Linked DNA regions of Stegostoma tigrinum. The main gene of each other region encodes a partner of the protein of the gene in region 2 in a complex. Links are inferred from orthologs where the notes say so. Each region holds a gene or a part of one and is shown on either strand. Other genes may lie near its edges.

Region 1 (15,831 bases), on a different chromosome or scaffold from region 2:
GTAGGGATCATGGACAGGTACCCTAATTGGCATGAAGCAGCACTCCACAAGGACCTGCAATGGGGCTTTGACCATTTATGGCATTTAACATCTTATATGATGGGGTAGAAACCACATTTCTAAGTTTGCCAACGGCAAAAGATTGTTGGCATTTTAAGCAGCATAGATAGAAGCATAACAGGGAATAGTAATACATTAAGTGAATGAGTAAAAGAATGGGAATTGCATTTTAATTAATCCAAGTGAGAGTTCATCCACTTCTGACCTAAAAGGATCGTTTCAACATGGTTAAAGGTTAGAAACAGAAAACCAAGTGAATTCAGTAAGTGGTGTACAGGCTACTAAAATGTCATGAACATTCAGAGAGAGTTATCAAAAAGTTTTTGGAATGCCATGTTGTATATTTAATTCAGCTACAGTATAGGGATGCGAAATCATATTGCAAAGCCCAGCTTACATGGTATGGGCTGTTTCCTTACGGGCACTTCACTTTATAAAGAATTTACGAACACTGGACATAGTGGATCGACTAGAAAGATACCTGGACTCCAGTAGTTAAATTAAGCAAGATTACACAAACTTCAGTAATATTCTACGAAACAAAATATTAAGCATTTGATCGAAGTCTGCAAGACATTAAGAGATTAGGGAATCTAGGACTATGGCACATGGTGCGAAATCTGGAGGCATGGTTTTCAGGAGCAAAACTGGAAACCACATTTACAGTCAAGAGGTTATCAAAAGTTTTGAAACTTGTTTCCACAAGCAATTGCTGCCAGTTCTTTAGTGCAGATCAGAGGCTGACAGTGTTTTGTTAACCAAAGATTAGCCCCGATTTCACTGTGAGGAATAGACTGAAAGGCTTACCGTTCTTGTGTTAGTTAAAAGGACTTTCTCCTGCAATAAATCTATTGTACGCCAACTACACTTCTATTTGATTTCAACCTTGGACGTAAAACATGGTTAATAAGTTGCTTGTTCTCAAATACGATCCAGTACCCACTTAAAAAGTGTACTACAAATCTGACATTCCTTCAAGCCTCTAAGTATTGGTTAAATTTGTTTCATCAATTAGTCCTATGTGGTTTGACAGTAAACAAAGGGTCGTGGATGCTGGAAATCTGAAACAAGAACACAGTGCTGGGAAACAGTGGGTCTGGCAGCACCTGTAGAGAGAAAAACAGAGTTAATATTTTGAGTCCAGTGACATTTGCTTCTGACAGATGCTGCCAGACCTGCTGCTATCCCAAGAGTTTCAAACGCACGAATACTGGTCGAGTTTACTCCCATTAGCAAACTCTACAACTTGAACTTCTCCTTCAGAAAAAATCTTTTGCAATGCAATCGGAGTTTGCACAGTTTACAAGTGTATCACAAATAACCTCCCAATCAAGATATTGCTGGAAAAATGACATTTCAAGAGAAATTTCATAGATGTGAGACAAAAACTCTTGAGAGATTATGCTTCCATCAATAATTGTACAAATACTACTACTGAACCAAAATCCTGAAAAGACCCAAGGCTCATATTCCGGGTTGGCAATTTAATTTAGACAGGGCTGGAGGTGGGGTGCTTATACACACAAAAACGAAAATCAGTCAGAGTTACACAGTTTGTTACTGACAATGATCCCTGAACATTGTGTAAATATGGATCGTCTTTAAGGATAAATTATGTTAATCTGTGACACTATTCGTAGCAAAATCTTTGGCCAATACAATGATACTTGTGAAAAACTGTCATCTTAGCAAGGTTTGGCCACAGGCTACCAAACTGTATAATATCTTCAACAGATTAAACAAAACCTGTTAGCTTGTGTCATTCACTTACTTTTTAACACAGTTTTAATTTTGGTCATCATTGGCTGCACACTTGTTTCTTCATCAGTCTGGTGGTCACTGTCACCAGTATTATCCTCTTCTACCCGTTTCCTCTTTCTGGGAGGAGGTAGTACTGCCTCCAGTAGTGCATCAACATCATTATCAAAATCATCCTGCAAAATACAGCATTGAAGGCCATCCCACTATAACAATACGAAGATTTCTGAACAGGACAGTTCAAAAGAAAAAGAAACTCTGAACTCTAGCTGCACTAACACAATTATTTTGTCATTTGGATTATGTTTGTTCCTTTAAACTAAGAGAATATACGATCTTACACCAAGTTGCATAGCAAAAGCACAAACATTGATCATTTCCCAGATGTCTGAAACAAAATACTCATAGACACTAAGCCAGATGTTTAAATTTAGAGTCTGATATTCTACTGAGGAATAAAGTTGTGGCTCACTCAGCAATTACGAATCATTCAAGTGTCCCGCTTGTTTCTGTGCAATTTGAAAACATTTTTAATCAGAGAAATTAATTTATAATACAAGGAAGGCTGTTTGCACTTTAAACTGCTTCGAAGCTATGAAATAGTGGTTTTTAAAAAACACCTCATGAAACAATAACACAATATACCTGAATTAAAATGGTGAGCCCAAAAGCAAGCTTGTATCTTATCAAGAGACTTTATTTTACTACAATAACATTAAGTGGAATGCCCGTATTTAAATCTGACGTGTCATTAAGTTTCTTTGCAGGACTAAAATTAAATTATGTATAAAAATACTGGCTTCATAAAGTGGGCAAGTTATTTCAAATTGAAACACACACAATACACTGAAGATACAAAAGATACTTGCTGCACACTTCCACTGTCAGAGTTTAAGGTTCCAGCCTGAGCTCGATGCCATCACTGTATTGAGCTTTATCTAATGCTCTGGTCAGTCTTCAGAGTTGGTTCATCCATACACACCTACAGATGGGTGGACTCAACTCCGACTAACCAATTCATAGACAAGGAACGGGCATCAGAACTACGCAGCAGTTCCTATTTCTGTTCATCCATTATTGACTGAAGGACCACAGTTGTAGAAAGAGAAGCGAAGTAGGAATGGAAGGATATTTTTGTACCAACAAAAAAAATTTAAACAACTTGCATATTCATTAAAAACACCTTACTAATTATGTGTAAATATAAATACAACTTGCTGCACAGCGTACAGAAATAAATGGACTTTTTGATTAAAATTTTACCAGCTGGAAAAGTTGTTGATGAAGAAGTGTGCTGGTCATAATGGACTATAGAAACATATACAGGGTTCAAAATACTAAACATATTACCTGATGCATGTAAATAGAAGGAGCAATTAAAAGTCAGAGTAAGCAAACTGCAAATGTCAACAATTAAGAAATACTGGAGTATAGAGATATTATTTGCAATTTAATGACAGGTCAATCTTGAATAACAAAGGTTACATGCATCAGGCAGGAACAAGGGAGAGAGAGAGGAAAAAAAAAGATAGGGAAGCCATTTATATCACACAAGGAGAAGTCACGTGCAATCACATGCACGTGAGTATTTTGAACCCTGCTCACATACCTCAAAAGAGTAACTCAGAGCTTCTTCATCGATGTGATCCTGCTGAATGATCATTTCAGATTTGAAACCTGTTCCCTCAATATCATCAGTTTCGAAGTTTTCTGTAAAGTCTTCTAGTTCATCGAGAACTGCAAATTCCACTTTTTTCTCCTGATTGTCTTCAATCTCTTGCTTACTAGTATTTTTACTACAGATACCCCCTGGCCCCACTACTCTATTACTGTCAAAAGGAGTGCCATGCAAATCTCCATTCATGCTCTTGATAAATTCAGTACTTTTCTCACCAGATTCAACACCAGTATAAACTACCTGTCTGTCCTTGCTTTTACTACTATCTGTAAAGACAACTCGAATTTTTACATCTTTCAGTAACTTAATATCAGGGGCAAACTTAGGAACAGCCGGTGCATGACGTGCTGTCCTTGGATTCTGTGTACAGCTTTCCGATACTGTTGTGAACTGACTGTTAAAGGCAGTGGATTCCATCGTAAGAAGCTGGTCTTGGCTGCACGTGTTAGAGTCCCCAGCGGGAGTGTCTGAAAGTCCATCACCACCAGAGCCAACGTCCATAACTTCTGCGTCACTGGACATTTGCAGGGGAGGTGGTGGAGGCGGCGGCGCGCTTGGAGGAAGAGGTGGGGGACACGGCTGATTCTCCACATTCAGTGGCTCTTTGGGCATAGGTGGCATGCTTCCAAACGTCTCCATTTTTCGAAACTTATTAATTCTAAGCTATAAAGAGTCCTAAACAAATTATATCTTAGTCAAATACCCAACTAAGAAAGAAACATATGCCAGTCCGAGTAAATTTTCTCAAAAGTTATGGTACTAAGCAAATTTTACAGATGATTCAGTTAAGCTGACTACATTGTTCTTTTCATTAAAGTAGACAGCTTTTAGAATCACTGTCTCAATTATTGGAAATCACAATGTATTCAGCTTAATCAACGCCTGCGATTAGATAGAATTCATCATCTTGAGTCCTTGACACCATCTTCTACTGATCACCTGCAGAGAAACAATAAAATGCAATAAATACAACTGAACCAAAAAAGATTGTGTGTGAACTACTGGAGAAACTCTAGCTGTTAGAATAATGCCTTGCATTAGCATAGCACTCAATTTCCATTCTGTTCTCTGTTCAAGCTGTTTTTGCTCATTCATTCATTCTCGTCTACTTTAAGTATTAAATAAATGGACTAACAACTTTACTGATGCAGTGGAGAAACACATTTTAAACTAATGCATGAAAGCATTTGTACACAAGTACCCAGCAAATAAAATTTCAGAGCTGAAGTTTCTAGGTACTGAAAGTACTGGAAAAAGTATTATCAAGATTGATTACGTTGTTCTTATTTCTAAATAAAGAGTTATGTTTTGCTGAGGCATTTTATTCTCCAGTTTTATTTGGTTTCCCCCTGGTGAAGCCAAAATAAACTATTCCAAAAGCAATCTTTCATTTTGTATCAAGTCTGCCTGAATAAGTATCTCAGACTATTATAATCAGCCAAATCAACAACTTGTAACCCGGCCAAATCCTTTTTAAAATCATTCATCAAACAGCAAGCAAGTAGTCAGCAATTAAGTAATACATACATTATAGTAATGCAAAAAAACTATCCAAAATCTAAGTCTTCACTTATCAAGATGTAGAAAATGCTTAATGTCAGAACACATTAAACACATACATCATTTTGACAGAGGGGAGAATTTTATATTTATCATAAGCCTCTCAAAGCACAGTTATTCAAATGTAGCCACTACTACACTAGCAAAGTATAATTATACATATAAAAATCATAATTTTCAAATTTGATACAATGAATTAAGCAGCACAGCACAAAAAAATCCAATCTGCAGATTAATCAAATTTCAGCCTGACAATTCCATTCCAGACTTTAAAAATAACTAGATGATTCCAAAATATCTAAACACTTTGACTTAATAGTTCATATTCTAATATATCAAAGGAAAAAAAAGCATTAGAAATCGATGTAAAGTTATTTCTAGTGAAAGAAAATTGGTCATATAGTAGACAGTGAAGGTTATCTAAGATTACAAAGAGATCTTGACCAATTGGGTCAATGGGCAGATGGAATTTAATTTGGAGAAGTGCGAGGTATTGCGTTTTGGTAAAACAACAAGGACAAGACTTATACAGATAAAAGCAGGGCCTTGGGTAGTGTTGCAGAACAAAAAGATCTAGAATTTCAGGTAATTCTTTGAAGTTTGCATCGAATGGGTGGTTAAGGCGGCATTTAGCATACTTTCCTTCATTGCTTAAACCTTTGAGTATAGGAGATAGGACATCATATTGTAGTTGATGAGGCTTCTTCTGGAGTATCTTGTCCAGTCTGGTCACTCTTATATGAAGGATATTATTAAACTGGCAAGGGTTCAGTAAAGATTTACCAGGATGTTGCTGGGATTGTGGGATTGGAGGATTTGAGTTATAAGGACAGGCTAAGACTTTTTTCACTGGTGTGTGCGAGGTTGAGGGATGACCTTATAGAGGTTTATAAATTCATGAGGGGTACAAGTAAGGTGAATAGTAGGTATCTTTGCCCTAGGGCAGGGAATTTCAAGTCAAGGGGGCATACTTTTTAGGTAAGAGGAAAAGGTTTGGAAAAAGGTTTTAAGAAAAAGGACATAAGGGACAACTTTTTAAAAAAGTGCCATTCATGTGTGAAGTGAACTGCCAGAGAAAGTGGTAGATGCGGGTACAGTTACAACTGTTGAAAGATATGTGGATAAGTGCGTGCATTGGAAAGGTGTGGAGGGATTTAGGCCAAGCGCAGGCAGGTAGGACTAGTTTAGTTTGGGGTTATGGTCAGCAAGGGCCATTATGGTTGAACCGAAGGGTCTGTTTCCATGTTGTGTGACTGTATGATAACTCAAATCCCTTTACTTCCTCCGAAATATTAGCTCCCTAACAGCTTTTTCTAAACAAAAAAGAGAATCGATCTTTTCATAAATTCCAAACATGCTGAGCCTTTCAGTGATCTTCGCTGTAGCGTTACGTCTGGTGAAACATGGTTAAACTCGATGGAAGTCACACAGCAACAGGCCTTTGATCAGACTCATTCAGCTCCACTCATTCAACACGAACCCGGATCTAACCAGGGGATTCAGTTAAAAATAAACAAATCCCTGCACCGACTTAAAAAGAGATACTGAGTTCCAGTATAAACCACCCCTCTGTCTAATTTAACATTAAAAGTTAAGCGAGAAGCCAGAAGGAGCCCCCTCCCCCAGGCGTGATCTGAGGCCTAGCCTAGACTTCGACAGAAACAAAGTATTGACTTCGCAAAATCGCTCCTCGGAGACTAACCGTGGTTTAATGGTTAACGATTAAATAAATAGTGCCGTCAAGGCTAAAATTTATGCTAGCTTAGTGCAAAATTAAAATCCTACCGTAAAAGCTCATCACATCGAAAAAAAAGTCAGATAATTTCACGGCCCTCCCCGCACCCAAAACCTCCGGTACCAGCCGCAGCTCCAACTTCGTCAAAGCGCATGCACAGCCTTGAAGATTGATATCTCGGTCAGCCAATCGACAGAAGCGTAAAGGAGGGGGGGTGGGTCTCCGGACTGTCAATCATCAACGGACCGTGCCACCCCCGGCACGCATGCGCCACAGGCTTCGCATTACTAGTTTATTGCCTCGATCAGCAGCCATCCGAACCCGCTTGCTCTTTGATAAGGAGGGGTAGAGCTGGATGAAGACATCACGCCCAGGGGCATCTTAGGGGCAGGAAAGCTGACGTTTCGGGAAGGGTCTAGGCCCGAAACGTCAGCTTTCCTGCCCCTAAAGTGCTGCTTGGCCTGCTGCGTTCATCCAGCTCTCCACCTTGTTATCTCGAAATCTCCGGCGTTGGCGGTTCCTATTATCCCCGCCTTCTCTTTGCCAGCTCGTGACAGCGCCGCTATATTTGCGCGACTGTCGGTGATTGACGAACGGCCTAACCAATCGCCAACCAACCATCGCGGTGACGGCACTAGATTGGAGTTCATGTCAATCATCGGTTCGTCCCCGCCCATCAAATGCGCATGCGTTTTATAGTCCACTGACAATCACCATGGCAGTGAGAAGGAATTTGTGAAAATAGGTATAGTCTTGCTTTACAAAAAGGGAGATGAGATGAGATTGTTTTTTTTTCGAAATAGAGAAATGCTTGTTTTTATTCATTCATAATACTTGTACGCCGGTATTAAGGAAGGGGGTGGTATTCGGTTAGCTCAGTTGGTTGATTTATGTGATGCCAAGAGAGGCTGAGGTTACTATGGTGACAAATCGAGTTAAACCGCCGCTAGTCACTGAGGTGTACAGCACAGAAACAGATCCTTCAGTCCAACTCATCCATGCCAACCAGATATCTTAATCTAGCACATGTCCCTCTCCACCTGATGAAGGGTCCAGTACTGAAGCGTGGACTTTCCTGCTCCTCTGATGCTGCCTGACCTGCGATAGTCCTCCAGCTCTACACTGTATTGGCTCTGACTCTAGCATCTACAGTTCTTTCTATTTCCTTCTAGACCCTTTCTATTCCTATACCCATGCAGATGCCTCTTACATGTTGTAATTGTACCTCTAATTGTATGTCCTCTAATTCCATTCAAACACCATCCTCTACTTGAAAACGTTGCCCTTTAGTTCCTTTTCAAACTTTTCCCTTTAACTTATGCCCTCTGGTTTTAGACTCCCCTACCCGGTGGAAAAGACCTTGTCTATTCACCCTATCCATGCCCCTCATGATCTTAGCAACCTCTATAAGGTCACTTCTCAGCCTCTGACGGTCCAGGGTAAATAGTCCCAGCCTGTTCAGCCTCTCCCTGTAGTTCAAACCCTCCAATCCTGGCAATGTCTTTGTAAATCTTTTCTGAACTCTTTCAAGATTCGTAACATTTTTCTATTAACAGTGAGACCAGAACCAAACACAATACTCCAAAAAATTGCCTGACCAATGTCCTCCACAACTGCAACATGACCTCCTAATTCCTGTACTCTATAATAGTAGGAACTGCAGATGCTGGAGAGTCCAACACAACAAGGTGCAGAGCTGGATGAACACAGCAGGCCAAGCAGCATCAGAGGACCAGGAAGGCTGACGTTTCGGGCTTAGACCCCTAGCCCTCTGATGCTGCTTGGCCTGCTGTGTTCATCCAGCTCTGCACCTTGTTGTCTCCTGTACTCAATGTATTGACCAATAAAAGCAGGCATAGCGAACACTTTCTTCACTACCCTGTCTACCTTCAACTTCACTTTCAAGTAACTATGAACCTGCATTCCAAGGTCTCTTTGTTTGGCAACACACTCCAGAACGTTAGCATTGTGTACAAGTCCTGTCTTGATTTGTCCTAGCAAAGTGGAGCACCTAACATTTGTCTAAATCAAACTCTATCTGCAACTCTTCAGCCCATCGGCCCATCTGATCAAGGTCCCATGGTACTGAGGCAACCTTCTTCACTGTCCACTACCTGACAAATTTTGGGGTCATCTGCAAACGTATTAACCATATCTCACATCCACATTATATTCACATCCAAATCATTTATTTAAATGACAAATAACAGTGGACTCAGCACTGATCCACACAACACACCTCTGGTCACCGGCAACCAATCCGAAAAGCAAACCTCCAACCACACTCTCTGTCTCCTACCTTTGAACCAATTTTGTCTCCACATGGCTAGTTCGTCCTGTATCCTATGCGATCTAACCTTGTTAACCAGACTACCATGTGGAACGTTATTAAACTCCTCAATGACGTCCATATAGACAATGTCCACTATTTTGCCTTCATCAATACGCTTGGTCACTTCCTCAAAAAAATTCAATCAAATTCGTGAGACATGATTTCCCACGCACAAAGCCATGTTGACTATCCCTAATCGGTGCTTGCCTTTCCAAATACGTGCAAATCCAAATTCCAAATTCAGAATGCCAACATCTCTGTCCAATTAGAGAGCAGTACTGTTGGTCCAGCAAGACTGTGATGACCTTACCTTCGCTTATCTTTACCTCTGCAATGATAAATTGGCAATAAATGCTGGCCTACTTCTAACTGCCTTGGAGAAAGTGCTGTGGTCGAATTGGTGCAAGGGCACTCAGTACACTGTTCCTGCCTTTTCCCCCTATTCATTGATCCCTTCAGTCCAAAGAACTGTATCCAGATTTTCGTTGAAAGTCTTCAATGTTTTGGCCTCAAGGCTTTCTTGTGCTAGAGAATTCCACAGGCTCACCACTCTGGGTGAAAGAAACCTCCCCTAATCTCTGTCTGAAAAGATCTTTCTCTTATTCTTACACTGTGAACCCTGGTTCTAGACTCCCCAGCCATCAAGAACACCCTTCCTGTATATACCCTGTCTAATTCTGTTAGCATTTTATAAGTTTCTAGGAGATACCCTTTGTTCTTCTAAACTCCTGTGAATATAGTTCCAACTGATCCAGTATCTCCCCACTCATCAGTCTGTCCATCCCAAGAATCAGTGTGCTAAACCCCCTTTGCACTACCTCCTCATCCAGAGCATCTTTCCTCAGATAAGCAGACCAAAACCAAACAATACTCCAGGTGTGGTCTCACCAATGCCCCGTACAGTTGCAGCAAGACATTAGTGCTCTTGTACTCAAATCCTCTCGCTGTGAAGGCCAGCAGACCATTTGACTTTGCACAAGGACACCCAGGTCTCATTGCTGCATCTCTTTCCCCATTTATTGTCATTCAGATAAGAATCTTCCTTCCTATTTTTATTACCAAAGTTTTATTACCTTACATTTATCCACATTATACTCAATCTGTCACATGCACACTTACTCCAAATTGCACTGCAGCTTCTCTGCATCCCCCTCACAACATAGCCTCCTACCCAGGTTTGTGTCATCTGAAAACCTGGAAATATGACACCGAGATAACAAAGTGTGGAGCTGGATGAACACAGCAGGCCAAGCTGCATCTTAGGAGCACAGAAGCTGATGTTTCGGGCCTAGACGCTTCATCAGAAATATGACACCTAGTTTTCTCAGCTATTGTGAATAGTAGGGTCGAAGCACTGATCCCTGCAGTACACCACTCGTCACTTTCACCTTAATAAGCAGAAAATTGCAGTCTACATCAACCCTTGAAAGAGCATCCCACCCAGACCCAACCACCTTATTCCTGTCACCCTGTATTTCCCGTGGCTAATGCACCTAACCTACACATCCCTGAACACTATGGGTAATTTAGCATGGCCAGTCCACCTAATTTGCACATCTTTGGACTGTGGGACAAAACCAGAGCACCCAGCAAAAATCCACACAGACATGGGGAGAATGTGCAAACTCCACACAGACAGTCGCCCGGGATCGTAGGGCTGTGAGGCAGTGGTGCTAACCACTGAGCCACCATGCCACCGCTTTCTGGTTCAGCAACATTGACACACTGCTGTCTGTAAAGCGATGTTCATTGTTCATTTGATGGTTGATTTGGTGGACCCATGTCTTTTATACTAAAGTTCTTTCTTTTAAGTTTTCTTGGTTTTATTTCCTTTCCAATTGTACTGCGAGAAGGGGAAAGAGATGTTTTCAGTTCGTTGGCTTGGAGGTCTCTGGCTACTCTGATTTTACTTGAACAATATGAAGGCTGTCACCAGGCTGATTTTCCCTACCTCAAAAATTCCTTGTGCCACACAGATTGAATAATGTATCAAACTCATTGCTCCAACTGCAAAATTCTCTTGCACAGTCAAAAATGTACACCACTTAATTTTTCTAAATTGCAAAACTCTAATATTTCAGCTATATTGTGGTCCAACTTCCATTTGAGTTTACAGTGCAAAAGGGAAAAATATACGGTTCCTTACAGTAGAGAAAATGTTGGAAAAGGTCAGCCAGTCATGCAACACCTGCCACATCACCTTTCTTAACTGCTCTGTTTTCCAACATTTTCAGATTTTATTTATTCCATTGCTACAATATTGGTCTTCTATCATTGTCTCACCTGTTACTGACACGGAAATCTTTGTCCATGTTTTCATTACCCATAAAACATAATTCTGTAATGTCCCCATCAACAATCTCCTGAGGTCCATCTTAGTGAGCTCTTTACACATCATGTTATTTAGGTTTAAATAGAACTGCTAATAATTACCCAGCATCTCACATGTCAAAGGGGTTCCTGCCTCAGGTTGGTGTTTTATCTCAGGCGATAAATAAAAATTGCTATTTTTGTCCTTACCTGACACCAGTATGTGCATTTTCTAACTGATATTTATTTCTCTCCAACCTAAGAATGCTGAAATCAAGTGTAGAATAGTCATGGTCTCCAGGGTTCAAATCCCACCTGCTCTAGAGATGTAATAACATCTCTGAATAGATTAATTAAAATATCTGTAATGACCAATTTAACACATACCTTTGTGGCTTGTATGATAGAACAGCATTTATCCACTAAGCCTTGTGTGGAAGGCTATATCTAACTTAATGATGACACTGTTATTGTTGGCCAGGGGAACGCTTATAGTTTGCAATATCAAATGTTAATTGTTCCAAATTTCAGTTTCAGCAAATTCATGTGGACATTAATTCTGTTACATGCAACAGTGAATAACAAATATGAGATCAATAACAAATCTATTTTCTAAATGGAACTGTAGCTTTGAAATTAAGATAAACCAGAATTATTTATCCATAGTATGATCTAATATTAGTCAGGGCCATATGCCAGAAGCATCTTATTTACGGTGAAAGTTTTCAGCTCAATCTTGCTCAAGCATGGTTAATATATAAACATGGCATAAACGAAACCCGTTCTTTTGTAATATGAAAATTCTCACTTGATATTAACTTACCAAATTCAGGCTTGTACTGTAAATAGCTTTTGTGAATGTTATTGCAATTCCACCCCAAGTTAGTTCTGCACAACAAAGTCAACAATTGCCAACTTAATAACTTCAAGGAAGTTTCTATTTCTCATCACTGGCAGATTCAAATTTAAAAGTACAGTTCTTTAAATATAATACATGATTTCTCTTCAGAAACAAGTTTTGTTAAAAACAGGTATAAATGTTGGTCCATTACATTGCCTTTTCTGTACTCTGTCAGTACACAAACCTCTTGTGACAATCGTACTCAAATGGAGCCAACCCCTAATCTCCAAGTAATAGAGCTAGATTTTATTTCAGGGATGTGTGAATGGTTCCTGCTACTTCACAGGCTTTTTCTGTAATTTTGAAGTGGAACCTATTTAGAGCCCTATTTTGGCATGCAGATCTGGAAAATTCATGAACAGACAAGCAATTGTTTTTCCACTTGAGCAATGAGATTGAAAAATCTTTAATGCAGAATACAGGAGGTGTCAGTTGGACATTGAATTCACTACCAAATCAATTACAGAAAGTCAAGAAAAGAGGAAATACGGGTGACATTATTTATGAACAGGAGTGGGGGGGGGAATGTAAAAACATACTTTTCAAACCTCCAATAACAGTCAAAATCTTAAGAATTGAGACTACACACTTGTAATGCATACTTTTAGCATCAAAATGGTTGTCTGGCAGAAATTAAGACTTCCATGATGTGAAAGTTCCTACACAGGATTTTATGAACTGTTTAGTCAGCAGTTATTCCAAGGTCCCACTGTTTCAAAAACTTGCATAGAGTCATTGAGATGTGCAGCACAGAAATAGCACGGTCCAACTTGTCCAGACCAGATTTTCTAAATTAATTTAGTCCTATTTACCCGCTTTTGGCCCATATCCCTTTCAAACCTATTCACATATCCATCCTGATGCATTTTAAATGTTGTAATTGTGGCAGCCTCCACCACTTCCTCTGGCAGCTCATTGCAAACACACACCACCTTCTCCATGGATAAGTTGCCCCTTAGATCCCCTTCAAATCTTTCCCCTGTCATCTCAAAACTCTGCCTTCTAGTTGTGGCAATCCCCACTCCAGAGAAAAGACCTTGCCTATTTACCGTATTCTTGCCCCTTGTGATTTTATAAACCTCTATAAGGTCATCCCTCTGCCTCCGGTGCTCCAGGGAAAATAACCTCAGCCCATTCAGCCTCACCCTTTAGCTCAAACCCTCCAACCCTGGTAACATCCTTATAAATCTTTTCTGAATTCTTTCAAGTTTCACAACATTGTTCCTGTAGCAGGAGACTAGAACTGCACACCAACTACATGTTGAATCTCTCGCACAGCATTTGAAGATTAGAGAAGCCAGGCATCAACTTCTGGATCTCTATATTTAATGAGGCATATGTGATCTGGAGACGTAGCTGTCCCGTTTACACTGCAATAATGCTGAATCTGTTTTTCCTTCGACAAAGCGACACAGTGACTCTGTTGTTAGCACTGCTGCCTCAGTGCCAGACACCCAGGTTTGATTCCAGCCTCGAATGACTGTTTGTGTAGAGTTTGCACATTCTCCCTATGTCTGTGTGGGCTTCTTCCCACCGTCCAAAGATGTGCAGGTCTAATGGATTGGCTGTGCTAAATTGCCATGGTGTCCAGGGATGTGTGGACAAGGGGGATTAGCCATGGGAAATGCAGGGTTACAGGATTATGGTATGGGGTGGGTGCATGTGGGAATCTTTTCAGAGGGTGGTGTGGACTCAATGGGCCAAATGGCCTGCTTCCACACTGTAGGGATTCTATGATTCTAAAATCTGCCCCCTTTAATGTTTTTTCCATAATCCTCTTCCTTGAAATATTCTGCGTCAGCCTCTGATTTTTAACCCTTTCCTCCTCTCTTCCTCCCTCCCATTCTTCTTTCTTACCCTTCTACTTCAACTCCCTTTCACATTCCAATACTTTTACTCAATCCCTTCCCTCATACACCATCCTCCCTCATCATTTCTTCCTCCAGCATCCTGATCCTCTGATCACCTTGCCTGACGTCACGCGTCTTGGGAGGTTATTAAATAAATCATTGAAAATATACACTGGAACACAAAACAAAATTGACTAGGCACAGAAATTTCTCAGATCCACTCTTATTTCATGTACAATATCTTGCTGCAAATGTGGCAGAAACTCCATTTTGGTACATATAGACTAGAGGGTTTCCAACTTATCTTGCAAACCAATACTTGTCAGGTAGGAGCAGATCTCAGGAATTTTCTTCAAAATGTGTAAAGTAAGATAAATTTAATGAGAAGATTATGTTGAGAAAGGGAAGTGACACTATTTTCAACACTAAGTTTCAACTTTTATTGATACTGGTACAGAACATTTTATTACAAACTTAGTAATTAAGAACAATCATCAGGAAGTGCAAAATTCTACTTTGCATTGTTATGGAAAAATAAACTTTGAATTGTAAAATACTGTGTATTAAATTAGTTTATGCTGTTGAATTAACTTCAACAATAAGATGCTAAGAGTTGCAGTTATGACCACACGAATGGTGACATTGTACCACTGAAATAATTCTAGAATTGCACCAATATATTCTGAATTCAAGTGAAGCATCCCAAAAAATCCCTGCAGTGACATTTGCTGATACCTGTATCTAATACAGTATTCTTGGTACACAAAAATATGACATTTGGAATATAACTGAGCAGAACTTTACAAAATAACAAACTGCTAGTGTCAAAGGTATACGTCTTGGCATTTTTGAAACTATAGCAGCAGCTAAAATTACTTGTGGTTTTTTGAAAAGACAAGTTAGGTTGAGGGGACAGTTTTTAGATTATGAAATGGAAAGGTAATTTAACTTCGAGACACCATTACCATTCAAAATAAAGAGGTTTAATGCAAATGCTAGGGGATTCCTATATTGGTGACATTTATAAAAACAAAACCATGAGTCAGAAATTCATTTTGTAATGAAAAAAAGACATATTTTCTTCACAATTGGTAATCTGAGAAGGAAACTGCACTCTCGGGATTTGCACGGATCAAATCATTTCATTAATACCATTAACTATGAGAAAAGCAGATTTCCTCCCATTCTCATTAAAAATGGATCTTCAAAACCTTTCTGGATGTTATGATTTCAAGTACTAAGACATTCTAATTTTTAATTTAACTATTTATTCTTCAGTTTTAGTCTATTCTCATTTACCTTTATTTATCTTTTACTAATCTGTTCTATCATCTGTTGCAATTTATTTCATCATTTTCCTTTCAATTCCTTCTTGTTTCTTTTCTTTTCCCTTATTTTTATCCTGTCTCATATATTCCCTCCAGCATTTAAAGTACGAGTTATTCATTGTCTTGTATTACTTTTCCCTTTTTTTGATCTGTTTGCTTTCAGTCTCATTTTCATATACAACGATCAAAGAAATGAGGCATGTTGAAATAAAGGGAGGAAGTCAGTCATGAATACGAAACTATAAAAGAGAGAGAAAATCAAAGAGAATGAAAAAAGGAAAGGAAAACCTAATAAGGAGAAAGCAGAACAGTTAGAAGG
Region 2 (15,962 bases):
GCTCCGGCGTTGCCCCCGCTCCCTGTAGTCCCTGCTGTCCTTTTGGCGGTTGTCGCGTTCGGCCGCGTGCCGGCCCCCGGCCATTTTGGCGGGCGGCGCGCGCGGAGGCTTGTCCCGGAAGTGCTCGGCCGGAGGCCCCGACCCCGGGCCCGGACCTGGACATGATGGCGGTTGCTGTGGTGACGGGGAGGTGTGGTAACCCCCTGGGCCTGGGCCAGGTCCTGGGGGAACCAGGGAGATGGCTCCACCTACCCCTGGTGGGTAACCACCGGCAACCGGGCCCGGAGGATAACCGGCACCGAAATGCTGGAGCGGGTAGGTCTGGGGGTAAGGCAGCGGGTACGGGGGTTGGAAAGCCGCCTGATGCGGGGGTAGGAGCGGAGCCTGGGCCATCAGCTGCTGGAAGCCGCCCCCACGCTCCGCCACTGCCGCTACCGCATTCGGTACCGGCGTGAAGCACGGGAATCCCGGTCGTGTTACCGGAGGGCCGGGGTAGGGAGGCCTAGCCCTCAATGGGCCCTGCTGCTGCTGCTGGCCAACAGGCCCTGGGCGAGGCTCCGAGGCCTGAGGGATATGTGGCGGGTAGGCCAAGAAGCCCGGGGCCGGGTAAGCCGGGCCCTGCGGGCTGGGGAAGCGAGGAGGAGGGGGAGGAGGAGGCAGGGGTGGAGGCGGCATCGGCGGAGCGAGCTGCTGATCTGGGGGGAATAATGGAGGCGGTGGGTGGACAGGCCGAAAGCCGCCACCACTGGCCTCAAAGGGCTGCTGGGGTACCCGACCCCCGGGGGTAGGCCTGCCCCGGGCACCCCCAACCTTCGGGATAACTCCATGACACGTGTGCGCAGAGGTCCCTCGGCCCGGATGAAATGACATAGTTCCCTTTGAACATTAAAAACAGAACAGTAAAGATGGCGATTAGAACAATTTTAAACGTATCTGCATGTGACAGTGTCCACCACAACCAAATCCCACCGTGCAGTTGTTAGACACTCGGGGGCAAAAAGAACTGATTGATCTGAAGGGGCAGAAACTTCCAAAGATTTCCATAGGTGGATGAAACGGACATCAGGCCGCAAAACAATATAGGTGACGGGCTGCAATTTCTTGGGCAAATGAAGTATAATGTTAGAAAACTGAAATTATCAAGTATCAAAGAAGTATATCATCTAAATGGTGTGATGGTAGAGCTGAGGTGTAGATGGTTAAGAACATCAGAAATTGGTGCAGGAGGCAGCCATCTGGCCCCTCAACCCTGCTGCAGCATTCATTAAAATCATGGCAGCTCTTTCTGTAGACTTAGTCCAACTTACCTGCCCACTCACCATCACCCTTAATTTCTTTTCTATTCAAAAATCTCTCTATCTTTGCCTCATAAAAATTCAACAAGGTAGGCGCAACTGCTTCACTGGGCAGGGAATTCCACAGATCAGAACCCTTTGGGTGAAGAAGTTCCTCCTCAACTCAGTCCTAAATCTGCCCTATTAGTTCTAGTTTCACCCACCAGCAGAAACAACCTCCCTGTTTCTATCTTATCTATTCCCATCATAATTTTATATGTTCCTAATAAGAACTCCCCAATTCTCCTAAATTCCAATGAGTATAGTCCCAGTTTACTCAATCTCTCCTCACAAACCAACTCTCTCATCTCTGGAATTAACATAGTGAACCTCCAGAACGAGTACATCCTTTTTCAACCAATGAAACTGAATACAGTACTCCAGGTGTGGTCTACTCAGTACCCCATATAGCTGCAACATAACCTCCCTGTTTTTAAACTCCATCCCTCTAGTCATGAAGGGTAATATTCCAATTGACTTCCTAATTACCAGATGCACCTGCAAACTAACATTTTGTGATTCATACACGCGGACACCCATGTCCCACTGCACAGTAGCATGCTGCAATTTTTCACTGTTCAAATAATAGTCAATTGTGCTGTTATTCCTACCAAAATGGATGATCTCATATTTACCAACATTGTACTCCACCTGCCAAACCCTTGCCCATTCACTTAGCCTTTCGATATCCCTCCACAGACTTTGCTCGACCACACAACTTAATGTCTTCTGGGAACACTGATCCACTACACTTGGTCCCCAACTCTAAATCATCTGTGTAAATTGTCAACAGTTGAGGTCCCAACACTGATCCAAGGCTCACCACTAACCTTATTGCCAACCAAAACAAAAACACCCATTTATCCCCACTCTTTGTTTTCTGTTAGAGGATTGGTTAACTAATATATTAGCCTAGGATCTGGGTGTCCTAGTGCATGAATCTCAGAAGATTTGTCTGCAGGTAAAGCAAGCAATTCAGAAAGCTAATTGAATGCTATCATTCATCGCAAAGAGAATTTAAGATAAAATTAGAGAGAAACAAAAACAGAAATTGCTGGAAAAACTCAGCCAATCTGTGGAGAGAAGTCAAAGTTAATGTTTTGTGTGATTATAGCTTGAAGTGTTTTACTGCAGCAGCAAATAGGGTGGGTGGAGGGAGTAAAGAGTAAACAATAGGTAGAGATACAGCCCAAAGAGACAGAAGAATAGTTTGACAGACAACGAGTGGATAACGGTCAACCTAGGAGAATGATTGGCTGCTAACGGGGACTATTAGTGGCTATCAATTACATATGTATAACAGCAGACCATGTGATAACAAGTCCTGATTTGTTAAGGGTTGGGGGTATGGACATGGGAGAAGGTGCCTCAAGCCCTAAAATTGTAGAACTCAATATCACAGCCAGAAGGCCGTGCAGTTCCCGAGCAAAAAATAAGGTGATGCTCTTCCCAATTCCGCTGAGCTTCGCTGGAGCAATGCAGTAAGCCTGACGCAAAGATGTTGGCCAGGGAACAACATGGTGTGTTGAAGGAGCAGGCAACAGGTAGCTTGGTCTTTTTGTGGACATAACATAGATGTTCTGCAAAGTGGTCATCCAGTCTATGCTTTGTTTCCCCAATATAGAGAAGACCACAGTGTGAGCAGAGAATGCAGTAGATTGGACAGAGTGAAATGCAGGTAAGCTGATACTTCACCTGGAAGGTATGTTCGGGACTTTGGATGCTGAAAAGGTAGGCAGGGAAGGTGCGGGAGGGCTGCAGTGGGTGTGGCAGGAGTGAAGGAAGAGTGGGCCAGGGGGTCCCAGAGGGATTGGTCCCTGAGGAAGGCTGTCAAAGGAGGGGAGAGATGTGTGCCTGGTGGTGGGAATAGTGGATAATGGTCCGCTGGCTGTAGATGCTGGTGGGACTGAAGGTGAGGAAAAGGGGGACCTTACTGTTGAAGGGGTGGGGGCCAAAGTTTGGAAGGTGGGTTGGACATGCTGACAGCCCTGTCAACTATGACTGGAATCCTTGGTTGAGGAAGAAGATGGGTGTTTCTGACAGCTGCAATGGAAACAAGAACTGGGAGAAGGGAAGAATCTTTACAGGAAATGGGGTGTGGGGATGTACAGTCAAGTTAACCGTGGGAGTCAGTTGGTTTGTATCGGATATTAGTGGCCAGTCCATCCCCGGACAGAGAGATATTGAGGAAGGGAAGACCATAAGACATAGAAGCAGAAATTAGACCATTCAACACATCGAGTCTATCCTGCCTTAAGGGAAGGAAGAAATCAAAGATGGACCAGGTGAAGGTGACAGCGAGGTGGAAACTGGAAGCCAAAATTGGTAAACTTTCCCAATCCCAGATGAGAGAAGGAAGCAGCACCAATGATATCATCAAATATATCGGAGAAAGAGCTGTGGGTGGGGGCTGGAATGGGACTGGAACAAGGAATGTTCCATGTACCCTAGAAAGAGGCATAGCTGGGACCCATGTGGTCACCCACTGCCACGTCTTTGGCCTGAAAGGTAAGGAGGTTATATTTGAGTTAGAGAATATTGGTGAGAAGACACTGAAGTACTGTGCACAGTACTGGTCTTCTCGTTTAAGTAAAAATGTAGAGACAGTTCACAGGAGGTTTACCAAAATAATAGCCAAGTCCTTGAATATTTAAGGCCAACATGGGTCCTCACCAAGCAAAAGAGTGAAACGTTCTCAGGGGAAGGCAAGAATGTGGATTTGACAATCGATTCAGAGCAGCTGTGATCTTAATGACTGGTGGAGCAGCACTGAGGGGCTGATTAGCTGATTCTTGCTTCTAATTTATGTTAGCATGAGTTTCAATAGTACTGTCACAGCCACAGGGTGTCCCAAAACACAGTACTGCTCAATACTCTTAAAGTACTTCATTGCAGTAACATAGGAGAAACATTAGCCAATTAGTGTACAGCAACTCCTACAAACAGCAATGTGGAAAGGAACAAAATCTGTGTGCTGTGGACAAATATGGTCAAGACAACTGAAGAGAACACACTTTTTCCTCTTCGAAATATAGGCATGGAATCTCCATATCCACCCAGGCGGGCAGGTGAGACCTCTGCTTAATTGAGACTCCCGTGCAGCCACAACAGAGTGGATGCAATTTTAATCCAAGTGGCTGTATCAATGCATGGCACAGTTGCCACATCTGAAAGAGACAGCATGGGTTCTCAGACAACACTGGGCTCCACATTATAGGCAGGTTGCGATAGCACTGGAGAGGTGCAGATGAGACTTACCAAGATGTTGCATAAATTGGAGAGTTTTAGTTACGGAGGGATTGGGCAGACTGGAATTGTTTTACTTGAAGCTGCGCTCACTTAGGAGGGATATAATTAAGATGTATAAAATTGGTAGGGGCATAGACACTTGTGCACACAAATGCCAGGAATATTTTTGACTCTGAGGATTAATCCTTCAGCGATTAGATATTTTCCACACTGTCAGAGGTCTTCCAGCACAGGAAAAAGACCCTTTGGCCCATTGCATTATCATCAGTCCAAAACAATTGCTTAATTATTCCAATCCCTTTTCTGATGAAGGGTCTAGGCCCGAAATATCAGCTTCTTTGCTCCTAATATGCTGCTTAGCCTGCTGTGTTCATCCAGCCCCACACTTTGTTATCCTGTTAAGAATTCAAGCTTGTATCAACCTCAGCATTTTACTTTTCTTGGGTTCATGAAGTGTAAACAAAACTTATATTCTGAACTCCTTCCTATGGACATATACCCCATGTTTTTTTTTGGTCTATCATAACTGTGTGCTGAACCTGGCTAAGCGTCACAGTCTTAAGTCCAATCATTGAAAAACTACTGATTACTAGCAGAGAGAGGGGGAAGTCACTCATGAAACTTTCTCCTTCTTCAGGTCTAGCCTGGGCACTGAGGCCAAGAATCATTTTATCCTGGCCAGTGCCAACTAATTCAGCTCATTGTGTGTATCAAACCTTGTGCTTTGCTGCTTTATGCCACTTAATACAATTATCAAGCCTCCAACACCATCTTCCAAACCTATGACCTCGGCCACCCAGAAGGACAAGGGCAGCAGATACAGAGGAACACTTTCAACCGGAATATTCCCCATCAAGCCACACCTCATCCTGATTTGCAAATACATCACAGTTGCTTTGTTGCTGCCAGGTCAAAATCTTGGAACTCTTTCCCTCAACAGCACCCTGAGTGTCCTTACACCTTAAGGACTGACAGTGGTCTCCAAGCTGTGATAGAAAGTAGGGTTCAATAGACAACAAATGCTGGCCCAGCCAGACAATGCACATCCCAAGAACATAAAACAAGGAAAACCAAGTCAGAAAATCTTCAGAGGTGGTGAAGAAAATGTCCTTTGTCCCACATTTTCTTCCAATCACCTCTTTTTAAAAGTGGTATTTCAGAGTACCATTCAGGGCCTGTTCGTCCACATTGTCAAGGGAGGTTATACCTTCATGTCCTTAAATGATCTGTATCCAAGCAGGTTGCAATGAAATTATTTCATACAAACTCCTTTTTTAAGTTAAAGAACACAGTACAGTACAGGCCTTTTGGCCCACAATGTTGTACAAACCTGTTATCCTTCTAAGATCAATCTACCCTGCACATGCCACATTTCACTATCCTCCATGTGCCCATCCAAGAGTTGCTTAAAAGTCTCTAAAGTGGTCCACTGCCACTGCTGGCAGCACATTCAACATGCCCATCGCTCTCTGGGTAAAGAACCCTACAACTTACTCCAATCATCTTAAAATTACGCCCCCTCGTAATAGTCATTTCCGCCCTGGGAAAAAGTCTCTGACTATCCACGCTGTCTATGGCTCTCATCAGCTTGTACACTTCTCACCCTTCTTCGCTCCACTGAAAAAAGCCCTAGCTCCCTCAACCTTTCCTCATAAGACCTGCCCTGCAGTCCAGGCAGCATCCTGGTAAATCTCCTCTGCACTACTTCTAAAGCTTCCACATCCTTCCTGTAATGAGGTGACCAGAACTGAACACAATATTCCAAGTGTGGTCTAACTAGGGTTTTATAGAGCTGCAGCATAACCTCACGGTTCTTAAACTCAATTCCCCTACCAATGAAAGCGAATGCACCATACACCTTCTTTACAACCCTATCAACTTGGGTAGCAACTTTGAGGGATCTGTGGGCCCAGACCCCAAGATTCCTCTGTTCCTCCACACTGCCAAGAATCCTGCCACTGCAAGAGTGCAGCACACTTCTACTCTCAATTGAATTTAGCCTCGTGTGCGGTCTAAAATCAGCTTGCAACATTGAATACAACGGTCCAATAAGACAACATTCCCAGCTACCAACAATTACAACTTAAACAGGTTCAACGCCGACCGAATATGTTCACTACACGTCTTGCAGCAGAGGGCTGCATATCAACACAGTGGGTAACTCCAGGGGAGAGGCAATGAAACTTCAAGAGGTTTGGGGCAGAGAAGCAGGGAGAAGAAACTACACTGATGTGGCATCTTCACCGTGATGGTGTGGAAATGCGGTCCCTGTTGTAGCGTAGGGAACACACACTATTTGCGCAGAGGAAGCTCCAAGAACAAGCAATCAATGGTCACAATGCCCTGAGGAATTAAACACTGATAAAACATTTTTTTCCCTAATCATCCCACTAATTCAGCCTCCTTTTTTTGTGTATCAGTGATTGCAGTGACATCGTGTGTGTTCCTCTCCACAACGCTGCAATTCCCTCCCCTGTTACTGTTTCCACCCCACCGCATTAGCTGCACGGCGCCCCTACATCGTTAGATCAAACAGTGCAAACCCGCTCCCACTCTAAATAACCTGTTGCATTTCAGTCAATGCTGCGGGACTTACACTTCACGAGCTGCTGGCGGTGTATTTTTTCTCCCTCAGGCACAGGAAGCGGAGGAGAAAGCTGAGACGGAAACTCTCGGAAGTAGCAGACCCGATGCTCTGTCCCCATTGGCTCCTCACAGACACATGGCGGCGTCACAATGCCGGAGAGAAAAAGAAACACCCGCAACATTCCGGCGGATACATGCTCCGATCCTGGTTGCAAACACTGGGTTGGCAACAGGGAATGTTTAAGCAGCCTCTTAGAAATTGCATGTTATTTCAATATGTGTCCATGAAAACACAACTGGGGTCAACTGCAATCTTCACACAAACGGAAGCGATTTAAAGTTTAGGATTGGACTCGGATCGATGCAAAATTCAATAAATGGTCAAACACGAGCATAAAGGTCTTTGTTTTTTTTATATATATAACATAAAGGTAGCAGCATTTGCTGCTCAGCAGGTAAAGCCCTGCAGGAGATTCGATCCTGCAGCGTTAAAGCAATCTTGGGGCCTTTTTGCATTTGCTTCAGGTCGGCACGTTTCTGGTGCTGGACTCGTTTTCCTCCAATCACGTAGGTCGAGGGATGAGGTCCGACGGAGGATGTGCTTCCCCCGGAGGCTCTGAGGACTAAGGGAGAGGCAGTGAGGGGGTCCTCCCTGCAGACATGAGCGGGGTCACCTGCTGCTTGCGCCGCTACCCCCAGCTTCCCGTCTGGGTCGTGGAGGATCATCAAGATGTAAGAGCGGTCCCTCTCCACCCACCCGCCGTGTCATTCCCGGGAATTGGACCCTTACCCTGGAGATTGCCACATTTTCCCCAGGGAATTGGGCGGTTGTCCTGGGATTTGTAACGTTGCCCCTAGGGATTGCGGCCTCTTCTCAGGGTTTGGAACATTGTCCTGGAATTCCAACGTTTCCCACGAATTGGAATGTTGTTCCAGGGGTTGGAATTTTGTCTCGAGAAATGGAAAATTGCCCTGGGGATTGCGATATTAACCCAGGAATTGGGAGGTTGCCTCTGGGGTTGGACCATTGTTCCAAGAACTGGAATGTTTTCCTAGGGGGTTGCAACATTTTCCTAGGGATTGAGTGGTGGTCTGAAGAATTAGAACGTTTTTCTGGGTATTGGAATGTTGTGCTGGGGATTGGAACTTTATTTTGGGAATTAGGACACTGTCCTGGCGATTGTAACATTGTCCCCGGGATTGCAAATTATCACAGCAATAGGACTGTTTTCCAGGGGGTTGCAATGGTATCTTGGAAATTAAAGGTCGCCTGAGGACTAGAACATTGTCCTGGTGATTGTAACATTGACCTGGGATTGCAATGTTTTCTTGAATATTGCAACATTATTTGCAATGATTGGAATATTGCCCCAAGGATTGAGAGGTTGTCCTGGAAACTGGAACATTATCCCAGTACTGGAAGGTTGCGTTGAAACATGGAATGTTGCCCTTGGGATTGTAACATTATTCCTGAGATTAGAACTTTGCCCCAGGATTGTTGTCCTTGGAACTGCAACATCCCATGAATTAGAATGTTGTCCAAGTATTGTAGCATTGTCACAGTGATTGCAACATTATCCTGGGAATTGGAACATTTTCCTGGGTTTGTAAAGCCATTCACTGAACATTCCAGAGCTAGAACCCCAGGATTGTTGTTCTTCCTTTATTTTTACCTGACAACGGTCATGCAACTTGCTACTCCCAACGCTTTCTGATACTGGGCACTCCCAGGACCATGTGAGTGAGCTAAATCATTTTAATACAGAGATGTATGAAATGATGATTGCTGAGAGGAAAAGCATGACAGATTCTAGTAACATGAGTTTTGATATAGACAGCCCAGTGTGTATGTGTGTAAGCATGAGAGTCTGTGGGAGGAGTTCCTCAGTCTTGAAGTAACCATACTTATCCTGGGTCTGCTTTCAACCATACTCAGTGTATTATAGTTTCAGTCTCAGGTTAATGTAACATGTTATCTTCTTTCTAATGCAATAAATTACTACTTTTTACCCAAGTTAAGTGTTTTTTGTGCCAAAGAAGATTTACTGGTTAATCCTTCACCATTTAGTACTAATAAGCATGTAGACTAGGATTATCAGAAGGGTTGGAATGGTCTTTTTATGCAGTGGTAGTGATCCTATCTCTGGAACAGATGGCCCAAGATCAGGACCCAATGCCTTGAATTAAAAATACAACAAGGATTGGTGGCACCATCTCCACCTGAGATTTTCAGACGTCTTTAATGTGAAGATTGAACAATGTTTTACACTCCACCTGCCCCAGCCCCACCCACCAACACCACCACAACTGTTCGTCAAAAAGACAACTTTGAGAGGAGCTTTGATAGAAATGTTAGTATTCATGAGGGGGCCTTGACAAAGAAATTGGTTGAATGTTCCTGTTGGTGGAAGGGGGGTAAATGTGTTGTTTAGCCATGACTGTGACTCTGGGTGATTCTTGATTGAAGTTTCAGAATTTAACAATGTTAATTTCACCTCACCCTCTTCCTGTTTAAGCTTTCTTCGGGACATTCTCTCTGTTCTTGTCTTTTCAGGTGGTACCATTCATCTATCGAGCAATTGGTTCAAAGCATTTGCCAATTGAAAATATAGCCCTGGTTCACCTGGACTCACACCCAGACCTTCTAATCCCAATTGACATGTTAGCTGATAGTGTGTTTGATAAAGAGCTGCTTTTTGGGTAACGTGACTTGGCTTTTATTGCATTTAAATGCTGAATAATCTGTGTCTCTGTCCTTGTTGAAATAACTATAAATAATCTCTCCTTTACAAATTATAACCTGTTAGGTAAATAGATACAGTTACTGTTCAGTGGGTTGGGAGAATGAGTAATTAATTATCGCAGTTGAAGAGCAATTGATGTTCCAAAGGTGATGGCATCACAATATAATCACTGGACCTGTAATTCAGAGCCCGAAGTAACGCTCTGGGGATGTGGGTCGGAAACTTAACAAGCAGCTGTCTTGAACCATTGGCAATCCATTTGCTGTAGGTAGATCCACGTTGTAAATACAGAGGGAGATGCAAGATTTTGATCCAGCAACACTGAAGGAATGATGACATTGTTCCAAATCAGGATGGTACGTGGCTTTGTGGGGAACTTGCATGTGATCGTGTTCCAATGCACCTATTGCCCTTCAATGTTGTAAAGGTCATAGTTTTGGAAGGTGCTGTCGGAAGGAGGCTGGACGAGACACTGAAGTAGATGGTGACTTGCTTTCAAGTCTTGGGAATGACAATATTTAAATCTGGGAAACACTCTCCAATCAGGGAGATTTTTCAGTTGTGGGACTTGACAATAATTTAGCAAGAATGAAGCACCTTGTGATGCCATTATCTAGTTCAATGGAAGCAAATGTTCTGTTTCTCTCACTTCAGTTTCTTATTTGTCCTTAGAAAAGTGATCAGAATTTTTTTTTCTCCCCGCTCTGCCCTAAATATAGAGACCTGAGCATTGAGAACTGGATCATGCCTGTTGTTTACGCTGGCCACTTCTCTGACGTCTTTTGGCTTCACCCTCTGTGGGCCCAGCAGATCACCGATGGGAAACACTGCTTCTTTGTTGGTAGAGATTCTTCAACTAAAACCATCAGGTATTGCAGCTGTTTACTGTGACAGGAATATCGGGAAGTTATGCTTCAACTGGACCGGCCAGTGGTGAAACCACTTTTGGAACATTGTGTACAGCTCTGGACTTCTTATTCAAAGAAGGACAGAAATGCATTGAAAAACAGGTCAGAGAAGGTTTACTAGATTAATGCCTAAAATGTGCTCATCAGGAAATCTTTAAAATGTACTTGAATGATCACTTGAAATGTCATAGCACTAAAGTCTAAGGGCCAAGCGCTGGAACATGGAATTAGTGTAAATTTAGCATAGGTTTGTTTTGGTGCAGATTCAATGGGCCACAGGGCCTCTTGTGAACTGTGAGATTCAGTGACAGGTAGGCCAGGCTATGCCTGCATCCACTGGTGTTTTGAAGACTTAAGAGGCAACTTGCCTGAAAACTGAAGGCCCTGAGGCACCTTGACAGAATCTGGAATACGAGGTTGCTGTTCAAAAACGAAGGGGTCATGATTTAAGATACAGGTTAAGAGTAATATTTTCTCAGAGCGTTGAATGCGGTGTTTGTCTTGAGAACTGAGTGTGCTATTGATTACAGTTAGTGTCTTGCCTGCTGTTCTACAAAATGATAAACAGATCGCAGATGTACATTCTCAATTCCCCACATGATGGGAGCTGGTGGCCTAGTGGTAATGTTATTGGAACAGTAGGCCTAGACTAATGATTGGGGGTGAGGGGGCATGGATTCAAATCCGATCATGGAAAATGGTTGGATTTGAATTCAGTTTTTTTTTTAAATTAATTTACGGGAAGTTGGCATCACTAGCTAGCTCAGTATTTAATGCAATTTCCTAATTGTTTAGAGGGCAGTTAAGGGTCAACCACATTGCAGTAGGTTTGGAATCACATAGGCCAGATCAGATAAATTCTTTTTGCTCTCAATGGATGTGAGTGTTGCTGGCCAGGCCGACAATTTATTGCCCATCCCTAGTTGCCCTTGAGAATATGGTGACAAGGTCCCTCCTTGAACCATTGCAGTCCGCATGCAGTATGTAGACCCACAATGCCATTAGGGAGGGATTCCAAGATTTTATCCCAGTGACAGTGAAAGAACGGCAATATTATATTTCCAAATAAGGATGGCAGTTTCCTTCCCAAAAGAACCAGATGGGTTTTCCAACAATCAACAATGGTTTCATGGTCATCGTTGACTCTTAATTCCAGATTTCTAGTGAATTCAAATTCCACCATCTGTTATGGTATGACACGAACACGGGTCCCTGGATTAATAGTCTAGCAAGAATGCCAGTAGGTCATTGCACCCCCTAATATTCATAAAGAAGCTGGAATAAAGGCTAGTCTCAATATTCATGATGCTGGAACTATCATCGATTGTCATAAAAACCCATCTGACTCGGTAATGTCCATTTAGGGAGGGCAACCTGCTCTCCTTACCTGGTCTGAGACACATGTGACTCCAGACCCACAGCAATTGGCTTTAACTGCCCTCTGAAATGGCCAAACAAACCACTCAGTTAAAGGCTGGTTGGGGATGGTAAACAGATGATGGCCTTGCCGGTGAAAGAATAAAGAATCAAAACTAGTGATTCCCAATTTTGTGAGCAGTCTGTAAAAGGAAGCTTTTGCACATCTCCGCTTTCTCCCTGTTGCCATTTCCAGGGATGACAGATACTGGACTGAAACAGCAACAGCAAGTTACACTTGTATTGTGTCCCAGGGCTTTGCAGGAGTGAAGGCATCAAACCATGGGAGCTAGTAAACCAGGCCATGAAAAATCTGGTCAAAGGAGTGGTTCTAGGAGGAAACAGAGAGAGAGGTGTAAGGAAGGATATCCAGAGGATGTGTAAATCTAATCATTTTTGAGCTGCCAGCTCCAGTTTGTCTTCTCCAAAATACATGCATTTGTGACACATATGTTTTATTTGAATGTGCAAAGATTATTTCATTCTGATTTTTTTTTGTGTTTTCGTATCAGGGTTACAAGTGCTGAGAGCTACTTTCTGAGTGATGGATTGTACGTGTCGGAGAGTTTGCTGGAGAACAGGAAGCAGTTAGGGTTACAGGTCATCCCGATAGACCCAGGTGAGCAGAGCAGAGATGACTGTGAGGAACCAGAGGAAATTGGAGCATCTGCCTGCAAAATACCAAAAATGGAACATTTCACCAGTGGAGAAGGTGTTCCCGGGCCTATGTGTGCCTCGGCCCCCAAAGAGAACAATCAGCTGTCTGAGGACAGATCTAATGGTGACAACATTTGTCCAGTTTCACACTCCACAGCTGAGAGAGACATACAGGAGACCATTCCACCCCACACAGCACCGACAAGCCCTCAGACTGTCCAACAGCCGGAGAAGGAAATCGTGAAGGATCTTCTTCATGTCTTGGACAAAAGAGATGCTTTCATCCTGGATATTGATTTGGATTTCTTTTCAGTTAAAAATCCATTTAAAGAAATGTACACCGAGGTGCTTTTTCTTAATTCTAGCTTTAAGGACAAAAGGTTTCTGAACTTTACCTGTATGTTTACTAGTAGAGTTTTGTTGGTCTGTTTTGCGTACCTATGATCTTCTCACATCTTGTGTGTGTGGCTTCACTTTGTTGTTGGGGTAACGTATATGGACAGGGAAAAGAAACCATTGGATTAGCTTGTGAATGTGAACTCTTAAGGGAAACAAGCAGGTAATTGTTCTGAAGGAGAGTCGTATTCAATGCAAGATATTGCCTGGTCCCTAATTGCACAGAGGGCAGTCTAGGAAAGGATGGCAGATGGCCTTAATTAAAGGGCATTGGTAACCAGAGGGAGCTTTACAACAATTAACCGTGGTTATGTGTTGCCACTAAGTTAGCTTTTAGCTCGAGATTTATTTTTTAATTTCACTGGCTGCCACTCTGAGATTTGAACCTGTTTGCACAGCACGTCAGCCTGGGGCTTGGGATTATTAATCCAATTACATTCTTACTATGACCACCCGTCTTTTTACTGGCTCCTGCACTTTAAGGCGTTTAGGGTGAATGATGTTGAAGTGAGCCCCTCCTGCCCACTCAGGTGGTTGTGACATATCCTGGGAGGATCACTGGTACTTTCCTTGGTGTCCTGCCCAGTATTTATTATTCACCCAGTATCACTCAAGCTAATGATCTGAATGTTATTACGTTACTGTTTGTGAGAGTTTGCTGTGTGCAAGCTGGCTGCTGAATTTCCCACAGTACAGCAGTGAAGACCCTACACCGACTGTAAAATAGGTTCAGCCTGTCCTGTGCTGATGAAAGGTGCTATCAAAATGCAAGGTTTTTCTTTACAAAAGCTAAAAGAGGGATGCATAGAAAGATTTGTTATTAGGATTGTTTTCAACCTAAATACTGCAGCAAGACAGGGGATGTTAAATGAGAACAAGCATCATTTCATGCTTAAGCTGTTGACAGTGTATTTATTCATAATCACTTTCATCTTGTCCCTCAGGAAGAATATGAAATTCTCAAGCAGTTGTATAGTTTTAACAAACCTGATCAGGAAGACTCTGAGGTAGGTGAAGATCAAATATAGTTGCTTTTAGCGCAACATGAGGCTATGTTAATTTTGAAGAAACAAAAATGTTTTCTTGCAGGTTTTTCAACTGTTGAGATTTGCTGTTTATGATTTTTTTGAAAGAATATGCTTGCCAATTCAGTGTGTTTATATCCTGTGACTGTATCAGACAGAGACAGAATCTCTGCTATTTTCTCTCGATGGAAATGAGGATAGTATTAATCACTACTGTAACTATGGACCAGCAACTTTGTTACAATTTTGCTCGGGAGCAGTAACCTTTTTTCTAAAAGCAGACTAATTCCTGGGGTGTAAAAGTTACCACAGTCCTGTTGAACAGAGATGACTGATGGTGGTTTAACCTGAGGGCCACAACACCTCTGCTGAAAAATGGTCTACTCCTGCTCCAACAGTGAAACATCTCAACATGAAAAGTGTACTTCCCATTTAAAATGTGATGGATTTAACAGAATAATTTCTTTTGAGAGCAAAGCATGGGACGTATCAGAAGGTATAGGAGTTGGTACGTTTTTGAAAGCAAGGAAGTTCTGATGTTAGCAACGTTGATTTAAAGACAATTGTTAAAAACAAATCTGAAAACTATATCTTGTCCCCCCAGGAGGCGTTGATCGATTGTGTGGAAGCTCGTACAAGACAGCTAGAAGATATGGAAGCTGCATTTGCAGATCTGTGTGAAGATGACAGTGAAGAAAGCATACAAAAATGGGCAGCAATACCTGGGTAAATGAAATAACTTTGCAATAAAGCAGCAACATTTTTCTTGACAGGGGGATTATTCAGTTGCTGGAAATCTGAAACAAAGGCAAAAATTGCTGGAGAAACTCAACAGGTCTGGCAGCATCTGTGGAGAGAGAAAGCAGAGTTAATGTTTTGGATCCAGTGCCCCTTCAGAATTATTAATAGGTAGGTGAAGGTGATATCTACACTGAAAAAAGTAGAAGGAAAGGGGTAGGGTGGGAAGTGGGAGTGAAGACAGAGCCTATAGAGGAAGATGGTTAGGCTGACAAAGGGATGGATAAAGGTAAGCCAGGAAGAAACAAAAGCTGTTAATGGGAACTTAAATAGGTGAAAATGGGTTGGCTGAATTATTAAGCGACAACACAGTGTAGAGCTGGAGGAACACAGCAGGCCAGGCAGCATCCGAGGAGCAGTAAAGTTGTCGTTTTGGGTTGGAACCCTTCTTCAGAAATTCTACGCTGTGTTGTCTCTGACTCCAGCATCTGCAGTTCTTGCTATCTCTGGCTGAATTATTCAGTTGAAATTGATTGGATAGCTTGTTTTTCTTGTTTCATTCACTTCTGCACATCACATCTTTCTCTCACCCCTCCTGTTCCTGTGGCTTGTGCCCAATTGTTAATACGTGACTTGCCTTTTAGCTGCTTGGACCAGTTCCTAAACCACCTGATGGCTCCCAAAGGTATCTCCTGGAGGGATCTCCACCTAACATGGTCAGACGGTGGAGTAGTGGTATTGTCATGGGGTTAGCAATCCGACGATCCAAACTCGTGTTCTGGGGGCACTAGTTCAAATCCTGCCGCGGCGACTAGTGGAATTTAAATTAAATCAGTCTCTATAGTAGTGAAACCACGGTCAACTTTCATAAAAACCCACCTGATTCAGTAATATTGTTTGGGGGAAGAA

The links.
Region 1: the proteins of drosha (region 2) and dgcr8 are in contact, whole or in part, in a crystal structure (PDB 5B16), measured with the Homo sapiens proteins. The link is inferred for Stegostoma tigrinum from reciprocal best matches to the Homo sapiens genes DROSHA and DGCR8. Residues at the interface, in NP_001369437.1 of Homo sapiens: Leu984, Leu987, Phe988, Thr998, Tyr999, Thr1001, Ala1002, Ile1003, Gln1005, His1008, Phe1069, Asp1073, Leu1074, Glu1076, Val1077, Trp1078, Asn1080, Pro1082; in NP_073557.3 of Homo sapiens: Asn728, Ile731, Leu732, Lys734, Leu735, Gln736, Glu738, Met739, Lys740, Leu742, Ala743, Arg746, Arg750.

What each region holds. Positions count from the first base shown.
Region 1 is NC_081379.1:5,873,063-5,888,893, forward strand, and holds the start of dgcr8 (microprocessor complex subunit DGCR8), read right to left. Parts: upstream 7,139-15,831; 5' UTR 6,842-7,138; intron 4,436-6,841; 5' UTR 4,136-4,435; coding exon 3,428-4,135; intron 1,995-3,427; coding exon 1,832-1,994; intron 1-1,831.
Region 2 is NC_081355.1:5,187,917-5,203,878, forward strand, and holds the start of drosha (ribonuclease 3), read right to left. Parts: upstream 7,286-15,962; 5' UTR 7,180-7,285; intron 7,173-7,179; exon of another isoform or gene 877-7,172; 5' UTR 871-876; coding exon 1-870. Other genes in the region: c2h5orf22 (UPF0489 protein C5orf22 homolog), read left to right, coding at 7,830-7,901, 9,724-9,869, 10,633-10,782, 12,750-13,239, 14,235-14,297, 14,920-15,041. UniProt on the Homo sapiens protein: Ribonuclease III double-stranded (ds) RNA-specific endoribonuclease that is involved in the initial step of microRNA (miRNA) biogenesis.